Drosophila melanogaster: one gene and its partner. The protein of the gene in region 2 binds, or shares a complex with, the protein of the main gene of each other region. Each region holds a gene or a part of one and is shown on either strand. Other genes may lie near its edges.

Region 1 (6,379 bases), on a different chromosome or scaffold from region 2:
GATAATATTGCTCGATTCGCTGTTTGTTGAGGTTGTTGTTGTTTTGCATAGTTTTTATTTTTAATCTTGATTTGGTTGTGTGGTGTTGTTGCTGTAGTTGTTGATGTTGTTGTTAATTAAGCACTTGGGGCGCATATATAAAATCTATTATTCATTACTTAGACCTATGAATAATAGGATAATTTAAGTTAAATTTTGGAAATTTCGTATAATTCTCATTTAAATATTTAGAATAACTTGTTGCAATTTGCACTTGATTTTTAGTTTTTGTTTTGGTTTTTCTCTAATATTCGTATGTTTTCTTTATGCTTGTCCATTTACCGATAAAGTAAATCTCTTAAAGTAATTGCGTTGGTTGATTTTGAAGCAGCTTAAGTTTGCGGATTGTAAAAATTGTTGATTTACTTGATGGATGTAAGAAATATATATCTATATATTATGTGCTATATATGTTAGTATCGCTTGGCTACATTAAGATTTGATTGCACCGTTAGCATATAACGCACTTTTTCCACGATTCCATATCGTTTATTCACTTCCCGTGTGGGTTTCTCATTCTATAATTCCCTTCGGCCGATGTTGTATATGTATATATGTATGTATGTAAGTGCTATGGCTGTGTATATGCATATGTATATAATGCGTGTATATATAATAACTATTGGAAGGCGTACTTTATAGGCTTGCTAAGTTCTGCTCAAAATTTTTACGCGACTTTGTTAAAGCTAATGGCTACGATTTCGTTAATGCAAATGTTTTTAAACTTTGTTTGCTTTCTTTACTAGATGTTGAACTTTTTTCTCTCGGGTTTTATTCATATTATGTATTATTGCTTGTATTTGAGGCGAATTTTAATGATAACGTTGGCTGTAAATATGAAAGTGATTCTTTAAACTATATTGAGAACTATAACTATAACTTTTAAAATGTGTCAATCGGTTCGCCATGTTGTTTTGTTAATTGATTTATATAACCTAGAAAGTTAATTTTAGATTTGGTTTCGATGGCAGATTGGAATCTTCCGAAAACCCCCTTTTCGGGAAACATTCTTCCAGCTGCAACAACAAAATGCCACAAAAGAAAACCAAAAGCAAGGACACACACATACATCCGCACAGATATTCACTCTTCTCTTTCCCTCTCTTTTGCTCTCCCTGCAACAGCTGTTGATCGCAATTGCAGCACACACACACTCACGTACACATTCTGATGCACTTATCTCATATGCACATACAAATGTTGATGGAAGAACAGCAGGTGTTAAATATAAAATCAAAATGTAGCGTATATAATGTCATAAAGACGCCAGATGAGCGAGAAAATTATCGCAATGTATCTGCTCCGCTCCGTTGCTGTTTGTGAAGTTGCTACTTCGGCTACCACATTCATTCATTCATTAGTTGTTGTTGTTGTTGATTTTATTCGAAGAGCGCACAAGCAAAGGGCAACGCACCACAACAACAAAAATTTTCCTTTCCATTTTGGCGTTGCTTTTGCCTAACAACAACAACGAATAAGAAGGTGAAGAAGAAGACGGCAGTTCCGTTAGCAAAGCAAAGAGAGCGACAGAGTGAGTGAGTGCGATCGAGAGCGAGTGAGAGAGCAAGAAAATCACACGGTCCAGGTCCAAGTGTGCCGTTTGAAAAATTGACAATAAAAAATGCGCATTTCACTTTTTTTGCGCTCTCTTCTGCTTGAAGTCTCTTCTGTTCCGTTTTCGAGCTGTTTGTTGTTGTTCTCGATGTTTGCAAAAACAAAGTTGCTGTAGTTGTTTTTGTATTTGTATTTGATCTGTTGATTTCCATTTGATATGCATTGGAAATTTTGCCTCCGAGCTAGCGAGCGAGACAAAGCGATGGGAGGGATGGGTTGGAAAGGGGGACGGTGGCACATGTGCTTCGTTTCGTTTAAGAATTTACACTCTTCACTTCTTTGAACTTACGTTTTCGAATAACATTTGATTTAGATTACATTGATTTAGATTTAGATTTGATTTTGCTTTTGCCTTTGCCTTAGCTACTTGCTATTGCCTTTTCTTTTTGCTTTTGCCTTTGAACTTTGCACACAGAAAAAACATGGATTGCACACACACACACTTCTTTGAAATGAATATATTTCAGATGGCAAGCACTTTCATTGAAATTCGATTGCAGATATTCGGTTGGGCGGCGCGATTTGTATTTTCTATATTTTTTACAAATTTATTTTGCTATTTTCGCTCACATTTTTTACACGGCGCGACGACGGCGCCGATTTTCGTGTTCGACCGGCTGCGAAATCCAAAAAGTACTACATCTTTACCGTTATTATTCGACGATTCGCTCGCCTTCAACCGCATGCAACTCGAACTCGTACTGAGAGAGCCGTCAAACGCCATCGAACCGCTATCTCAAACATTTTGTCGACTGTTAGTGCGAGCAGCAGTTAACATTAATGCTAACGCAATGTAGACATAACAGTGCCAAAGATCCTCTTTAACTTTGTTGTTAATTGATTATGCAAATTATAGTTAAATATTTAATCAAATTGTAACGAAAACTGAGTCGTGAATGAGTTTCCTGAGAGAGAGGAAAAAGAAGAATGCTGATTGGAATTTGAATTCGAAACCGTGCAAATAACAAAAGAAAAAATGCTCTCCTCGGCGATTTCTTCTTCTCGCATCCTCGTTGGTAAATGCCTATTGTTTGGTAATTTGACTCCATGAATCAATTTTAATGACTTCGACATTTCATATTAATAACAAAAGCAAAAGAAAGTGAGACTAGAGATGTTATAGCAAACATTACATTGTACAATTATATAGATCATTTAACCAAAACATTTAAAATGCTTGACCTCCTATCTTTTAAAAGAGGAGTTCAATAAATAACACGAGAGGTAAATTATTTTTTCATTGAAGACTCTTCTATAAAGCTGTTTGTTTAGGAAAATGCTTTAGGCTATAAACTTCTGAAGCTTATATTTTGAGTATGGAGTTCTCCTATTTCGTGGAGACTATTATTTTGTCATTTCTTAGGAAGAAAGCATGGGTTGTTGCGTACGTGATTAAAGTCATATTTCTAATTCGAAGTACAAAAACAATTAAATACTGCAATTATCTATTTCGATATTATCAATATAAATATTGAATACAATACATTGTTTAGAAAGTAGAAAATGGAGTAATCAATGTTAACATTAAGAGAATTCCAACCACAATGGTATTTTCGCTTTATTCTGACGGCATTGGCCATATTTATTTCATCAGTTGGCAAAGCATCTCTGGGTTCGCGAACAAACACAATAGTATTTAAGTTTGTCGATTATTTTCAACGTTTGGGCGAATGGACGTGGACTATTGGAATGTCGGCTTTCAAACAAATAACAATTGTTCTTATCAGAATTGCTTGAGGTGTGTGTGCGTGTGACTCTCTCTCCCCCTCCTACTTATAGCATTTGCATTCTCCTTGTTGAGCCGATAGTGTCCTTTCACCCTTTTTTACTTGGAGTATACAAGTATTGGTATTTTTCTGCGTTTCAGTTATTCTTTTTAAGGCAAACACCTACCTAAATAATTGATAAAAACAAAAAGCTAGCAAACCCAAACACACACACACACACGCACGCACACAGCGACGGAAAGAGCGCATGAGAGAGGAATTGTCCGTCTGGCATTTTGACGTTTATTACTTTGCCTGTATTGTTGTTGCTGCTGCCTTTGCATTGCCTCTTTTTTTGTTGCCTTTGCGCGCGAATTCGCTGCGCATAGCAAATTAAAATTAAAAGTTTGCGAGAGCGAGAGAGTGCAACAAAAAAGCAGGGAAAAAATATCAAAATTAATTTCTTTTCGGCGTGGCGGGAGAGAGAAGGACAGAGCGGAGAGAGAGAGGGAGAACGAGCAAAAAAGAGAGAGAGAGCGCGCGACGACATGACGAACTTTTGACACATTTTGTTTATAACAATTGTCTGCTTTTTGCACTTACCTCTTTTTCGTTTGCTTCAATTGCTCCTCTCTGCTGGTGACTACAACTTAATATTGTTTTGTGTGCGAAATCAGAAATGCCAGTTTAAACATTATTTAACACAAATACGTTTACGCACACTAGCATATATGCTGTAGTAATTTGTTGTTGTTGCTGTGCTGTTGGTGGTGGTGGCGATGGTGATAAAGCCTTGCCGTTTTAGACGATTTCTGGTCTCCTCGCATTAAATATGTTTAGTTTCCATTACTGTTTGTTGTTGTTGTGATTGTTGTTATGTGGTGTATTAATAAAAAACGTACGCGAACTGCAGTCAAAGTCACTCACACTCACACTCACACGCACGCACACACTGGCACACGGCATACGGCACACACAAACGCACGCACGCACACACACAGCAACTAGTAATTCTGCTGTGCGAAAGAGACAACATGAGAGCGCTTACGAAAAAAATGTTTGTGTAAGTTTCCCCGAAAACGCGATTTCATCCGGAAAATGCACTGCGCTCGCATTTCGCCTCCGCCGCGTTGGCCATTTAATCACTTTATATGGTTCCGTTTCGATTGCATTGTTTTTAGTAGGGGTTTTTAACCGAAATTTAGTTGCGTGTTTTGTGTTGGTGCAGAGAGAGCAGGAAAATACACATATCGTTATCGATGGGTCGGCTATCGATACGGCAACTATCGCCCAGCTGATTGGCGGGCGATCAGCTGTGCGACGATAGGTCCAGTTCTGGAAAATGTCGGTACCGCATATTTGCTAAAAATTTCGATTTTCTCTTACTTAATGAATGATTTTTGGAACCGGTTTGTCTAACGATCTGAGTTTTATCTAGCAATGTGTTTATCCGAGCGTTTTTGAAAATTCATAAGCAGTTTTCAGTGTTGGTTTTCAACACTGGTTTCTTATCTCAATGTCTAATCCAGAAAACCCAATTTTGGAATGGGCAAGTATCTTAATGGGAAATATGATATACCTATATAATCTAATCTACACTTAGCTTGAATGAATATCTATTGAATCCAATTATCTTATTTGTCGGTACAAAATAATGATAAGAATCTACGAATGAATCTATGATAAATCCTTATTGATTTAAATAGCGGATTAAGGCACAACGAATCCTCTAATATATGTCAATTATAGTACTATGCACTGGATTTCTGCACCTGTTATCAGAATTCCGTTAAGAAGTATACTTATCAAAATCGAATAATTTCACAATTTTAAATATTTCTATGTTATCCACATCAATTTTTGGCATCCCTGCCGCCCCCGCAGTGTGGCCGTATGCGCTGATAGTGGGCGCCGCAGCGAACAGCTGATAGGGCTGCAGCATATAAATGAGCAGGTGGTAAATAAATGTTTTTAGTTGATTCCAAGACGCCATTCCGTGCGCGTTGGCTTCCTGATCAGAGTTTATCATTCGGCGGGCGCGGCCATCATTAGATTAGATCGACATTAGTGCGTTCCGCTCGGCGATCGGCAGCAATCGATCCGAAATAAACAAACGCTCGCGTATTTACATAATTTAAGTGAAAAGTAACGACGACAGAATGACGAACACCGATGTGCGAAAGAGAAAAGTAAGGAAAAGGTCAAAAGGGCAATCCACAGCACAAATTTAATGCCAATTTCATGGCGCTCTCTCACACACACACGCACACATGCGAATTCCTCAAATTGCTGCTCTTTTGACGCGGAAGTAAAACATCAAATGACTCGCAGAATAATCGTTTCAAGTTCTATTCTATTCGATTGTGCCAATTTGTATCTGAAAATGTATGTTTACAAGACATTTAAATATAGATACGCAATGGCCGCTAAGCACGCTTTTGTTAACAATTATGCAAATTTTGATTTTAGTTACGAAAGAGATGACTAGTGGGTTTTCTATCAACATCTTAATGCCGGCCGGTTTATTTTGAAATATTTTCGTATTCGCATTAGGGTGACCAGTCAGCAGGAACTTTCTCATTTGCAAGGTCATTAGGGGGGGCTGATAAAAAAAAAGCATAGAAAAGTCCAACGATTCAGTTGGCAGCCGTTTCGACCGAATCTCGCTAGACAACTTTTGCAATCGCTTTCTCGCATCGGAACCCAAAGATCACAGGTACACATAGAGTGTCCCATTTCGGGGGCGATTGGATCGCATAGTTTCGACTGATTTGCATCGCAAGTGGGTGGAGAACAGGATGCGGGCAAACCGGAACCGGTTGCAAGTGAGTGCAGATAGTGCCTGGCTGCTAACGTGGCCTTAACCCTCGTGTACCTACGTGTACTCGGTACTACAATATATACTAGATACTTTTGTATCTAACTCGATATTTGTTGTTTTCACAACATCTGTGTCTAAACTTATCAGCATTTTCTAGATAGCACACTTCTACCAGCTTTCAATGTTTGTATCTTTCAAC
Region 2 (11,073 bases):
TTTCTTTGTACATGCGTTGAGTTTCTTGGTTAGCCAGCGATAAGCGTAGGTTACACACATAGCTGATAGTCCCAATACGCGTACATATACTTATATATATATATACATATATATATAAATATATATTCACACCCTGTGTCCTGTACCCTATACATACACCCAGCTAAATCGACGGTAAATAATGATCTATTCATGGGCGTTAGTGTTGTACTTGTAACTGTAGATTTAACTGTAAACTGTAACTGTAATGAATATTGTTATTATTGGTTATTATTATTATTATTATTACTATTACTATTATTAATATTATAATTATTATTGCTACTGCTATGGCGGAAGGAAGAGGACGAAGGACGACCGAATTGATTCATATTGATATTCGATAGATGTGTGTAATATGTAAATGAGTACGAACCCCTATAGCTGCAAGAATTTCTCTATCTCTATTGATCTAATGCTAAATCTAAATGTATATGAGTATGTATATGCCTAGCCTAATGACCTTTCAACTGTCCCCTAGCCCAACCCGCTGCCCGAGGACAAGCTCAGTGCAGATGCAGATATGGGTCTATGTATGAACATATGTATACGGAGATCTGAACGATCTGCACGGGTGTCTGTGCTTGGGCTAATTGTTTTTGTTGCTTATTTTATAAACGAAGAGAGATGGAAATTTATTATTTCATAGTTTTAGCTATTTGTACGACTACGTTTAGGATATTTATTTAAGTGTTTCTCCAGCTAATCCCCCGAAACTTTCCCCAAAACAACAAAAACACACACATCCTAACTGGAGCTAAGAACCCAGCAAACTGGTGGTCTAAACTTTCTTGTAATTATTATTTGATAAGTTTTGTATATTTACAACATCAACAGCAGAAAAGCTCACAGGATAAACCCGAAGAAGGCACTTCTTGAGCCCTCGTTTAAGCAGTCTTAGAACACCAAACCAAACTCAAGTCTCTCGATCTGAAGTTTATTTATAAAGCATAAAGTTAAACTACCGTATTCTTGTTAACGTCACACTGCCACAAATCGAAACAAGCCTTACATAATGGAACAGATCTGGACATTTAATCGAACCAAACCGAGATACTGACCCATAGTTTCAACAATACTGCAACCGCAATCCTCAATGCAATATACCGACAACTTCTACAACAATTTCCAAACACTGCCCAAAACGTGCAATCTCTTGAAAGGATACCTTGAATAGGAAAGAGAATAAAACCAACTCCTAGTTCTTTAATCTAATTCTTTAATAGTTGCGTTCTCTAAGTACCTTTATCTATTATTATTATTATTATGTGTACGTGAAGATGAAATCTACAATATATCATTTTGTTTATGATGATTGGTGATTGATGATGCAAATAAACAAAGTGAGTCTTGAGTTCAACTCTGTTCATTGTAAACAATTTTTTATGATTATTTTTTATTTTTTAAATAAAATTATTATTTCAATTTGTGCATGCGTTTTATTTACACATTCGCAAACCAAACACACCAAAAAAAAAACAAACCAATATAAAAACCGAATGAAATATAGAACGTAAGCAAAGATATGATACAAATATATGGAACCCGCTACAAATTTGGAATCTAGATATACCTCCCATGAAAAGTACATAATGTTGCATAAGTTACAATATATTCAAAGTCTATATAGGATAGTCGAGATTCGGATTGACGATATTTGAAGTCGAGATCACATATTTTAGATAAAGTCCAGTCGGTGTATTTTGTAGTTCTAAGACACCATTTCACGAGGTCTCAGTTTATGAGGTTTCCCCCAGATCATGGATTTATATGTATGTCTATTTATTGGCGTAGATCACCGCATCTACCATTATTACCTAGCGTAAATCAGTTATTAGTTGTTAGGGAATGAATATTTAAATGTTATAAGACCTTAGATATAAGCACACCCACAACAAGAGCAGCATCGAACCAGATATGCAAAAATCACGAGTCGAGTACAACGAAATCGGTAAACAAGAATCTGAGCCACAACCCGGATAATGCAGCTTTAAATCGAGATAGTACATTTAAATTTCAATCTCCTATTTCCCAGAGAGCTCTCCTTTCACTTCGATAGCCTAAATCAGTTGGAGACTCCAACCCGAAAGCATTTATACATGCTAAGCACGATAATTGTACATATACAACTTCTGGACCTCATGACTCCACTCGATTATAAACGTATTTTATATGTATACACCAATTATTTGTTAGATTGGATAACCCCGAATGGCTGGATAAGACCAACTAAATTATATGCAATAGAATATCGATGCCGTTGGGCAAGATTTCTATGCTAGGCTAAGGCTAAGACAAGATATCTTTCTATTGGTAACTCAAAAACGAAACGAACTATATAGCTTTTAAATGGAAACGTGCGATTATTCAAAGGTATTCTATGCCGCCTGAGAATAGTAGAGATATGGATTGGCCTAGATTTAGACGAATATGTTGAATGCATTAACATTAGATACGATTAGTTTTTGACTTACTAACCTAAGTTAAGTTTTTAGACTGTTTATTTCACTTTTTGTTCAATCTTTGTACATTTGACAGACACATTTTAAAAATGTCTGCGATGAGAAATCAGCTAAAGCCAGCCACAATATATATAATATATATATATATACTTTAATGCTTATGTAGTAAGGAAACGAACGTTGGATCGAAGTCATGGTATGTAGGTGAATTTTATGGTTAGAGGCAAGCGCAAGCGAACGGATTAGATTAATTTTTATAAGAATGCATTAAGAAAAACGAAGCAAGTAACAGTCACAAGCTAGCATAATTATTTACTGTTATGACGACATAAGAGTTTTAAGGTTTTTAGCTAAATTTTGTATATTTTAATCTACAAACTATAAATATATATTATCTGTTTTATAAATAACAATAAAAAATTCATATGTGTTTTTATGACAGATTTCAAATGGGTAGAGCATCGCTCTCAAAATGTATAGCCATTTTGAGCTGTACAGGAATTCGGAATGTCTTTTTTACTACTAGTATTATTTCTTATGATTCGGTCGGTTATGGCTTATACGCATAGACCAATAACTCTACATATCCCCACCCACAGAAAGAAGTCACAAAATCTGGGAGGCCAATTACAGGTCCAAAACGTTAGATTAGTCGGTCACCATTAAATCGATTGTGGCACGAGCTGTGTGACATATTGCGTCCTCTTTTTGGAACCACAGGTCCTGGACATCATGGTTGTTCGATTCAGGAATGAAAATGTTGGTAACAATAGCCCTATACCGATCGTCATTTACTGTAACGTACTGGCCATCGTCGGCTTTGAAGAAGTACGGACCAATGATTCCACCAGCCCATAAAGTTTTTCTGGATGTAACGGTGTTTGAGGATTGGCTTCAACCGAAGTGCTGGTTGTCCGACTAGGTATATAAACATATACATAACAACATTTGGATATTTTGATAAAAAAAAGTCATGCGATTAAATGAAGGTGCTCAAAGTACATATATAATATGTCCATATACATATAATAAGATATATTTAAGATGGGACTGTTCAAACATATTAAGTACAAATTCGATTCCCCCGGAATATACGTTATTTTTTAATTGAATAAGAAGGGAAAAAATGTTGACATTGTGATATTTCTACATGTGTTAGCGAAATGTAAAGTTTAAGGTAAGTTACTTAAAAATGTATTTACATTTATTTGAATATCTACCTTACGATTATTAATCGATAACATAAACAGTAGAATCAATGTTGCCATATTTTAAAAATAATATCGATAATGCGAAATAAACATCGGTTTGGAAAGCCTTATCGATCTGGCAGCCCTGCCGACGGCCATACTTGAAAATACATTTTTTTCTGCAAAGTTTGTCATTGTCACTGTGTGAATGGAATCTGTGATGTGTTGTGGAATTAAAAACGTCGAGTAAACGACCCGTAATGGTTAAAGTGCCCGGCGAAAGCAGTGCGAATAACTATGAATTGATACGAAAGTTGCATAACACGTCGCCTGGTGTCGCGGTTAGTGTGTTTTTCGTCTCGTTTCGTTTCCGCCGCAGTCGCAGTTTCCAGAAAACCTCACCACACCATACCATCTCCACCACGCACACACACACACAAACAAACACGCAGAGACGCGGCGGCGGAAAAAGTGTGCGGACCGCGGATTTAACCCCTCGTTCCAAACCCAAATTGGAGTCTCCCAAAAACAGCGAAATATCGAGTGTGGCTTAGCCGATGTGCCGTGCGATCCCCACTGCCCCTTCCGTACCGCTGCCACCCCCGCCACAGCAGCAACGCACACGGATACGGACACAGACACCAATACCAGCGCACTCAAGCACGGCCGACAAAGAAAGAGCGCTCTCCCTTCCTCTTCGTACAGTTAGTTCCTACAGCTGAATCAGCCAAAAGGGAATTACTAGGTCCATTCCGAGGCGCAGTTTGCATGTGAAACGGAGGTCCCCGCATAACCACGCGGAACCCGAAATCCCAGATCCCCATCTCCGCTGCACGGATAAAGGAAACATACAACCATGAGTCTCCTAGCCACGCCAATGCCCCAGGCGGCCACCGCCTCATCTTCTTCATCCGCCTCCGCGGCCGCCTCGGCCAGCGGGATTCCAATCACCGCCAACAACAACCTGCCTTTCGAGAAGGACAAGATCTGGTACTTCAGCAACGATCAGCTGGCCAATTCGCCAAGCAGAAGATGCGGCATCAAGGGCGACGATGAGCTGCAGTACCGCCAGATGACCGCCTATCTGATACAGGAAATGGGTCAGCGTCTGCAGGTGTCCCAACTGTGCATCAACACGGCCATTGTGTACATGCATCGGTTCTACGCCTTTCACTCCTTCACCCACTTTCATCGCAACTCCATGGCGTCGGCGAGCCTCTTCTTGGCCGCCAAGGTAGAAGAGCAACCGCGGAAGCTGGAGCATGTTATTCGGGCCGCCAACAAGTGCCTGCCGCCGACCACCGAGCAGAATTACGCCGAACTCGCCCAGGAGCTTGTGTTCAACGAGAACGTGCTCCTGCAGACGCTGGGCTTCGATGTGGCCATCGATCATCCGCACACGCATGTGGTGCGCACCTGCCAGCTGGTCAAAGGTATGCACCCACCATCCGACCCAAGCCATGTCCCCTTCACATGTCAGATGGTACTGATTACTGTGGTATATTTTAGCATGCAAGGATCTGGCGCAGACATCGTACTTCTTGGCCTCGAACAGGTATGGCTAGCAATGCGCTACTCTATGGTGTAATCCCTCCTAGAGATCGCCCCCAACGCAAATACGGCTGTGGTATAAGCAATGTGTGTGTGTGTGCGGGTGTGGTGTTGGCCCAATCCTCCCCAGAAAGTGGTCAGGCTGTAGAGAGTTCGATCCCTGACTTTTTGTGGCTAAAATCTTTGGGCAGTTCTTTTACCTGCTTAATTCCTCGCTTATAGCTAACAAACCCAGGTATGTGAGTCGAAACAAAAAAAAAAAGTGACGACCCCAAGTCACAAATCGAACAAGAACACGCGGTCCCTAATCGCAGCAGGACGTCTGTACAAATATCGCATCTTAGCAAAAAGGCAGTATTTTCCGTGTCCCTCGCGGTAATTATCCTCAGTTGCCTGCAATAACATTGTAATTTGTGTCGGAAAATCCGCCAAATGTCAAGAATAAGACTAATTCCTAGAAAGAGTCGTTAATTCCTAGAAAAAGATATTTGAAGAATTGTAATGATAACCATTGTAATCCTTTGGCATACTAAAACATCTGGAAAAAAGATAAATTCAGTTTGGCATACCTGCCTACCTAAAACATAGTCAAAATTCTGATTACATGAGGAGAGCTCATTGGGAAAATTTGCGCATTTCGAAATATCGGCAAACGTTTTAGAATAATTCTTTTAAGTTTAAGATCCCCAAGAAATAAAAGAGACTCGCTAAGAACATGCTAAGAACTAAAGACGTAATCTGTATTATAAGTGATGAAATCCCCCTGCACACACTCACCGAACTACATTTATATGTGATATTCTTGCAAAAGATTTCCCACTAAATTGACTTAACCATCCTGGCACAGCCTGCATCTGACCTCGATGTGCCTCCAATATCGCCCCACGGTCGTAGCCTGTTTCTGCATTTACCTAGCCTGCAAGTGGTCCCGATGGGAGATCCCCCAGTCGACCGAGGGCAAACACTGGTTCTACTATGTGGACAAGACGGTCTCGCTGGATTTGCTAAAGCAGCTGACAGATGAGTTCATCGCTATCTATGAGAAGAGCCCGGCCCGTCTGAAGTCTAAGCTTAACTCGATCAAGGCGATCGCCCAGGGAGCCAGCAATCGGACAGCTAACAGCAAGGACAAACCAAAGGAGGACTGGAAGATCACCGAGATGATGAAGGGCTACCACTCAAACATCACGACACCACCAGAGCTGTTAAACGGCAACGACAGCCGGGATCGGGACCGAGATCGTGAACGGGAGAGAGAGCGGGAACGGGATCCGTCGTCACTACTGCCGCCACCGGCTATGGTGCCGCAGCAAAGACGACAGGATGGTGGCCATCAGCGCTCGTCCTCAGTGAGCGGAGTGCCAGGCAGCAGCTCTTCGTCGTCTTCCTCCAGTCACAAGATGCCAAATTACCCTGGTGGCATGCCGCCCGACGCTCATACGGGTAAGTATTTCAACAACTGCAAAAAGAATCACATTTTTAACATCTTCGTATTGAAGATCACAAGTCAAAGCAGCCGGGCTATAACAATCGAATGCCCTCAAGTCACCAGCGTAGTAGTAGCAGTGGACTCGGTTCCTCGGGAAGTGGCAGCCAGCGCAGCAGCTCATCCTCGTCGTCTTCAAGCCAGCAGCCTGGCCGACCGTCTATGCCCGTGGACTATCACAAATCCTCTCGCGGCATGCCGCCGGTAGGCGTGGGCATGCCACCTCACGGCAGCCACAAGATGACTTCGGGCTCCAAGCCCCAGCAGCCGCAGCAGCAGCCGGTCCCACATCCATCCGCCTCTAATTCCTCTGCATCGGGCATGTCCTCCAAGGATAAATCCCAGAGCAACAAAATGTATCCGAACGCACCGCCGCCATACAGTAATAGTGCCCCTCAAAACCCGCTGATGTCGCGTGGTGGATATCCAGGCGCTAGCAATGGATCCCAGCCCCCGCCTCCCGCCGGATACGGCGGCCATCGCAGCAAATCCGGCTCCACCGTCCATGGCATGCCGCCTTTCGAGCAGCAATTGCCCTATTCCCAGAGCCAGAGCTACGGCCACATGCAGCAGCAGCCAGTGCCTCAGTCTCAGCAGCAACAGATGCCTCCGGAGGCATCCCAGCACTCGTTGCAGTCCAAGAACTCGCTCTTCAGTCCAGAGTGGCCAGACATTAAAAAGGAGCCCATGTCGCAGTCGCAACCACAGCCTTTTAACGGTTTGCTACCCCCTCCTGCGCCTCCCGGCCACGATTACAAGCTAAATAGCCATCCGCGCGACAAAGAAAGTCCCAAGAAAGAGCGACTAACGCCAACCAAAAAGGATAAGCACCGTCCTGTCATGCCCCCAGTGGGCAGTGGGAACAGTTCCTCCGGCTCGGGATCATCAAAGCCGATGCTACCGCCTCACAAGAAGCAGATACCCCATGGCGGGGACCTGTTGACCAATCCTGGAGAGAGTGGAAGCCTAAAACGGCCCAACGAGATCTCGGGAAGTCAGTATGGACTAAATAAGCTGGATGAAATAGATAACAGTAATATGCCTCGAGAAAAGCTTCGCAAGCTGGACACTACAACTGGACTACCAACTTATCCGAATTATGAGGAGAAACACACGCCTCTGAATATGTCCAACGGAATCGAGACAACGCCGGATCTGGTGCGCAGTTTGCTAAAGGAGAGTCTGTGTCCATCGAACGCTTCGCTCCTGAAACCGGATGCCTTGACTATGCCTGGCCTGAAACCACCGGCCGAACTGCTTGAGCCCATGCCCGCACCAGCGACAATCAAGAAAGAACAGGGAATAACTCCGATGACCAGTTTGGCTAGTGGGCCCGCACCCATGGATTTGGAAGTACCCACTAAACAGGCCGGAGAGATTAAGGAGGAAAGCAGCAGCAAGTCCGAAAAGAAAAAGAAGAAGGATAAACACAAACACAAGGAGAAGGACAAGTCCAAGGACAAGACGGAAAAGGAGGAGCGTAAGAAGCACAAGAAGGACAAGCAGAAGGATCGTAGCGGCAGCGGTGGCAGCAAGGACAGTTCTCTTCCCAATGAGCCTCTGAAGATGGTTATCAAGAATCCCAACGGCAGCCTGCAGGCCGGTGCGTCAGCTCCCATTAAACTTAAGATCAGCAAAAATAAGGTTGAACCCAATAACTACTCTGCAGCGGCGGGTCTGCCTGGCGCAATCGGATATGGCTTGCCTCCAACTACGGCTACCACCACATCCGCTTCGATCGGAGCAGCTGCTCCTGTTCTGCCTCCTTATGGTGCCGGCGGTGGTGGCTACAGCTCATCGGGCGGCAGCAGTTCCGGTGGCAGCAGCAAGAAAAAGCACAGCGATCGTGACCGCGACAAGGAGAGCAAAAAGAATAAGAGCCAAGACTACGCGAAGTACAATGGCGCTGGTGGCGGCATCTTTAATCCCCTTGGCGGTGCTGGCGCCGCACCCAATATGTCTGGAGGAATGGGCGCCCCCATGTCTACTGCTGTACCACCATCCATGCTGTTGGCGCCCACCGGTGCAGTACCACCCTCTGCCGCTGGGCTGGCACCGCCTCCCATGCCCGTCTACAACAAGAAGTAGTGGTAGCGGTCAGAGGGTTATTCTTAAGTCGTACGTTTTGATATATGTATAGAACCTCAGTAAGTCCGATTGTAGTATAGTTGTTAGGATTGTTAGTGAGATGCATTATTGATTTTAGTTAAGCACATAGATAAAACTCCAAATTGGAAGTGAAACCGGATGCGCAGATCGAAGAAGAGTGGAAGTAGATGTCGCGATGGGGCTGGACGTAAAAGCAGTACTCAAATCGCGAAAACTTTTGTACAGCATTAATTAATTTATAACTATAATAAATAGCATACATATAAGCCCACATACATAAAAATACGGAATAGTTTTAAGCGAATTGTTGGCAAACGGAATCAGAGACCCAAGCAGAAAATTCACAGAGAGCAGCAATGGCCGTCTAGCGTTTAAGTTAGCAAATCAAATACCCGTTTCACACACTCTAACCTGTATATAGCCACTCTCACAAACACACAATCAAGAGATATATAGTACAGACTTCCGCTTAGCAAATATACTAAATACGGCCCCAACTAAATGCAAGCCAGAGAGATAGAAAGAGTAAGAACTTCAAAATAATCCCCACAGAGGAGCATATAGTTGTGGCAGAGGATAGGAGAGTAAATGGAAAGCCAGCGCTTTGATTCAAAATTGAAGACGCCAAACCACATAATGAATTATTTAATTAATACATAGTTGCTAATCCGAAAATGAATGAAGATGTTTATTTTTAGTTAGCAAAGTTTTCCCTTCCTTTCTGAACGATTGCCCGATTACTAACCGTGTTTCAATATAGTTTTCGACACCTAGCAATATATACAGTAGTGTATTTACACTTTTCAATGAAGATAAGTAAAAAGATCGGATTGTTTCAGCGGATGATATTATGTTTCAAGATCGCCTGGAACGTTGACGTAGCTTTCATTTGTTTTAATTTATTTTTTAAATAGCATTACAAAACAAATTACCACAACAAAAAAAAAACCAAAACAAAAACAAATAATAAAGTCCCAAAACAAAAACGGAATATGCAAACAAAAAAGAAACCCAAAACTAAATTTTGGATAAAACAAAAGTTGTTGTGCAAGAAAACAAAAAGTTTTAAAATTATGTAAATGCAAGCGAAAACGTTGCAAGCAAACTAAGCTAAACGAACGAAAAACTAACAGAAGGCTAAACGAGGAGAAACAAAAGTTAGGCATATAGAAATCTAGGCATGATCTATATATTCGAGGCGAAAATGAGAATGAAATGAAATTTTATGTAATTTTCGACTAAGGCAAAGGTTAAGCGAACGTTGCGCGTTTTTCAAAACTATTCGTACTCGTATATTCGTATTCGATTTCTCTACTACTGCATTAAGCTGCAAGCATATATAGCTCTAAACACACCACACATCCATTCACACACCATCCATCCCATGCAGTCGAGAAACGTATTCTTTAAGTTGGGAACCCGAGAAACCCGTTTTTATAATCGATCGAAAGAATGCGCAATTTGCGTCTAAGATTTGGATTTCCCTTTATATACTTATTCTTGGCCCCTTTTACCACACTCCCCGCCCACGCCCATCCCCACCCCTCGCCCCTCCTAACTTAAGTTTTTGTACATACTTGGAAAGCAAATGGAAAACCCGCCGCTCGGGTGGCGGGCAAGTGTCGGGTTTCATTGGGATTGTTTGGTTGTGCGTTCGAATATGAATTCACTCGTCACTTGCACGCCCCCACGAGGGCACAAATAAAAATCTTCAAAACCCCGCAAAATTCTAAACAAAAAACTATAAAAATGCAAAAAATAAACAACAAAAAAATCAGGAAAATTAAATGATATGTGTTTTTCTTGCGGTGCTTGGGGGAACTTCTTGTTCAACTTTCTGAGCGAAACTTCAGATTCTTGAAAACGGTCCAAATATTAATTAATTTTGTACTTAAAATTTTAACTAAATTTATTCTAAATATCTCATTTGTTTCGTTAGCAAATAACTCTTAAATAATTTAAATAAATATCTTAACTAAAATAGGATTCTAATTTGGAAGAGAGAATTTGTAATTTAGATGCATTTTAATGGAGTCATAATGTACTTTACCGCTCTTTAGAGTGTTTTAATTATCCAGTTTATTTAAATCATTGCAAGTAGATCTTTCTTAGGAAGAACAGTTTAGTCTTAGCTTATTCTTTATTATGGGCGATGATATGGTTAAGGATCCAGTCCAAGTAGCTGCTGATGCGGGTGAACACGGCCGGGAATCCCACTTGACATCCCATAGAGGTT

Evidence for each region.
Region 1: CycT (region 2) and lilli share a complex: the UniProt entries of both Drosophila melanogaster proteins name them as parts of the super elongation complex.

The regions. Positions count from the first base shown.
Region 1 is NT_033779.5:2,884,162-2,890,540, reverse strand, and holds the start of lilli (lilliputian), read right to left. Parts: upstream 4,613-6,379; 5' UTR 3,963-4,612; intron 2,258-3,962; exon of another isoform or gene 1,943-2,257; intron 868-1,942; 5' UTR 1-867. Other genes in the region: NTPase, read left to right, coding at 5,519-5,548. UniProt on the Drosophila melanogaster protein: Has a role in transcriptional regulation. Acts in parallel with the Ras/MAPK and the PI3K/PKB pathways in the control of cell identity and cellular growth.
Region 2 is NT_037436.4:17,550,547-17,561,619, reverse strand, and holds CycT (cyclin T), read left to right. Parts: upstream 1-3,831; 5' UTR 3,832-4,547; coding exon 4,548-5,124; intron 5,125-5,200; coding exon 5,201-5,246; exon of another isoform or gene 5,247-5,477; intron 5,478-5,788; exon of another isoform or gene 5,789-6,089; coding exon 6,090-6,685; intron 6,686-6,741; coding exon 6,742-8,816; 3' UTR 8,817-10,616; downstream 10,617-11,073. Other genes in the region: CG7542 (uncharacterized protein), read right to left, coding at 10,971-11,073. UniProt on the Drosophila melanogaster protein: Regulatory subunit of the cyclin-dependent kinase pair (CDK9/cyclin T) complex, also called positive transcription elongation factor B (P-TEFb), which is proposed to facilitate the transition from abortive to production elongation by phosphorylating the CTD (carboxy-terminal domain) of the large subunit of RNA polymerase II (RNAP II).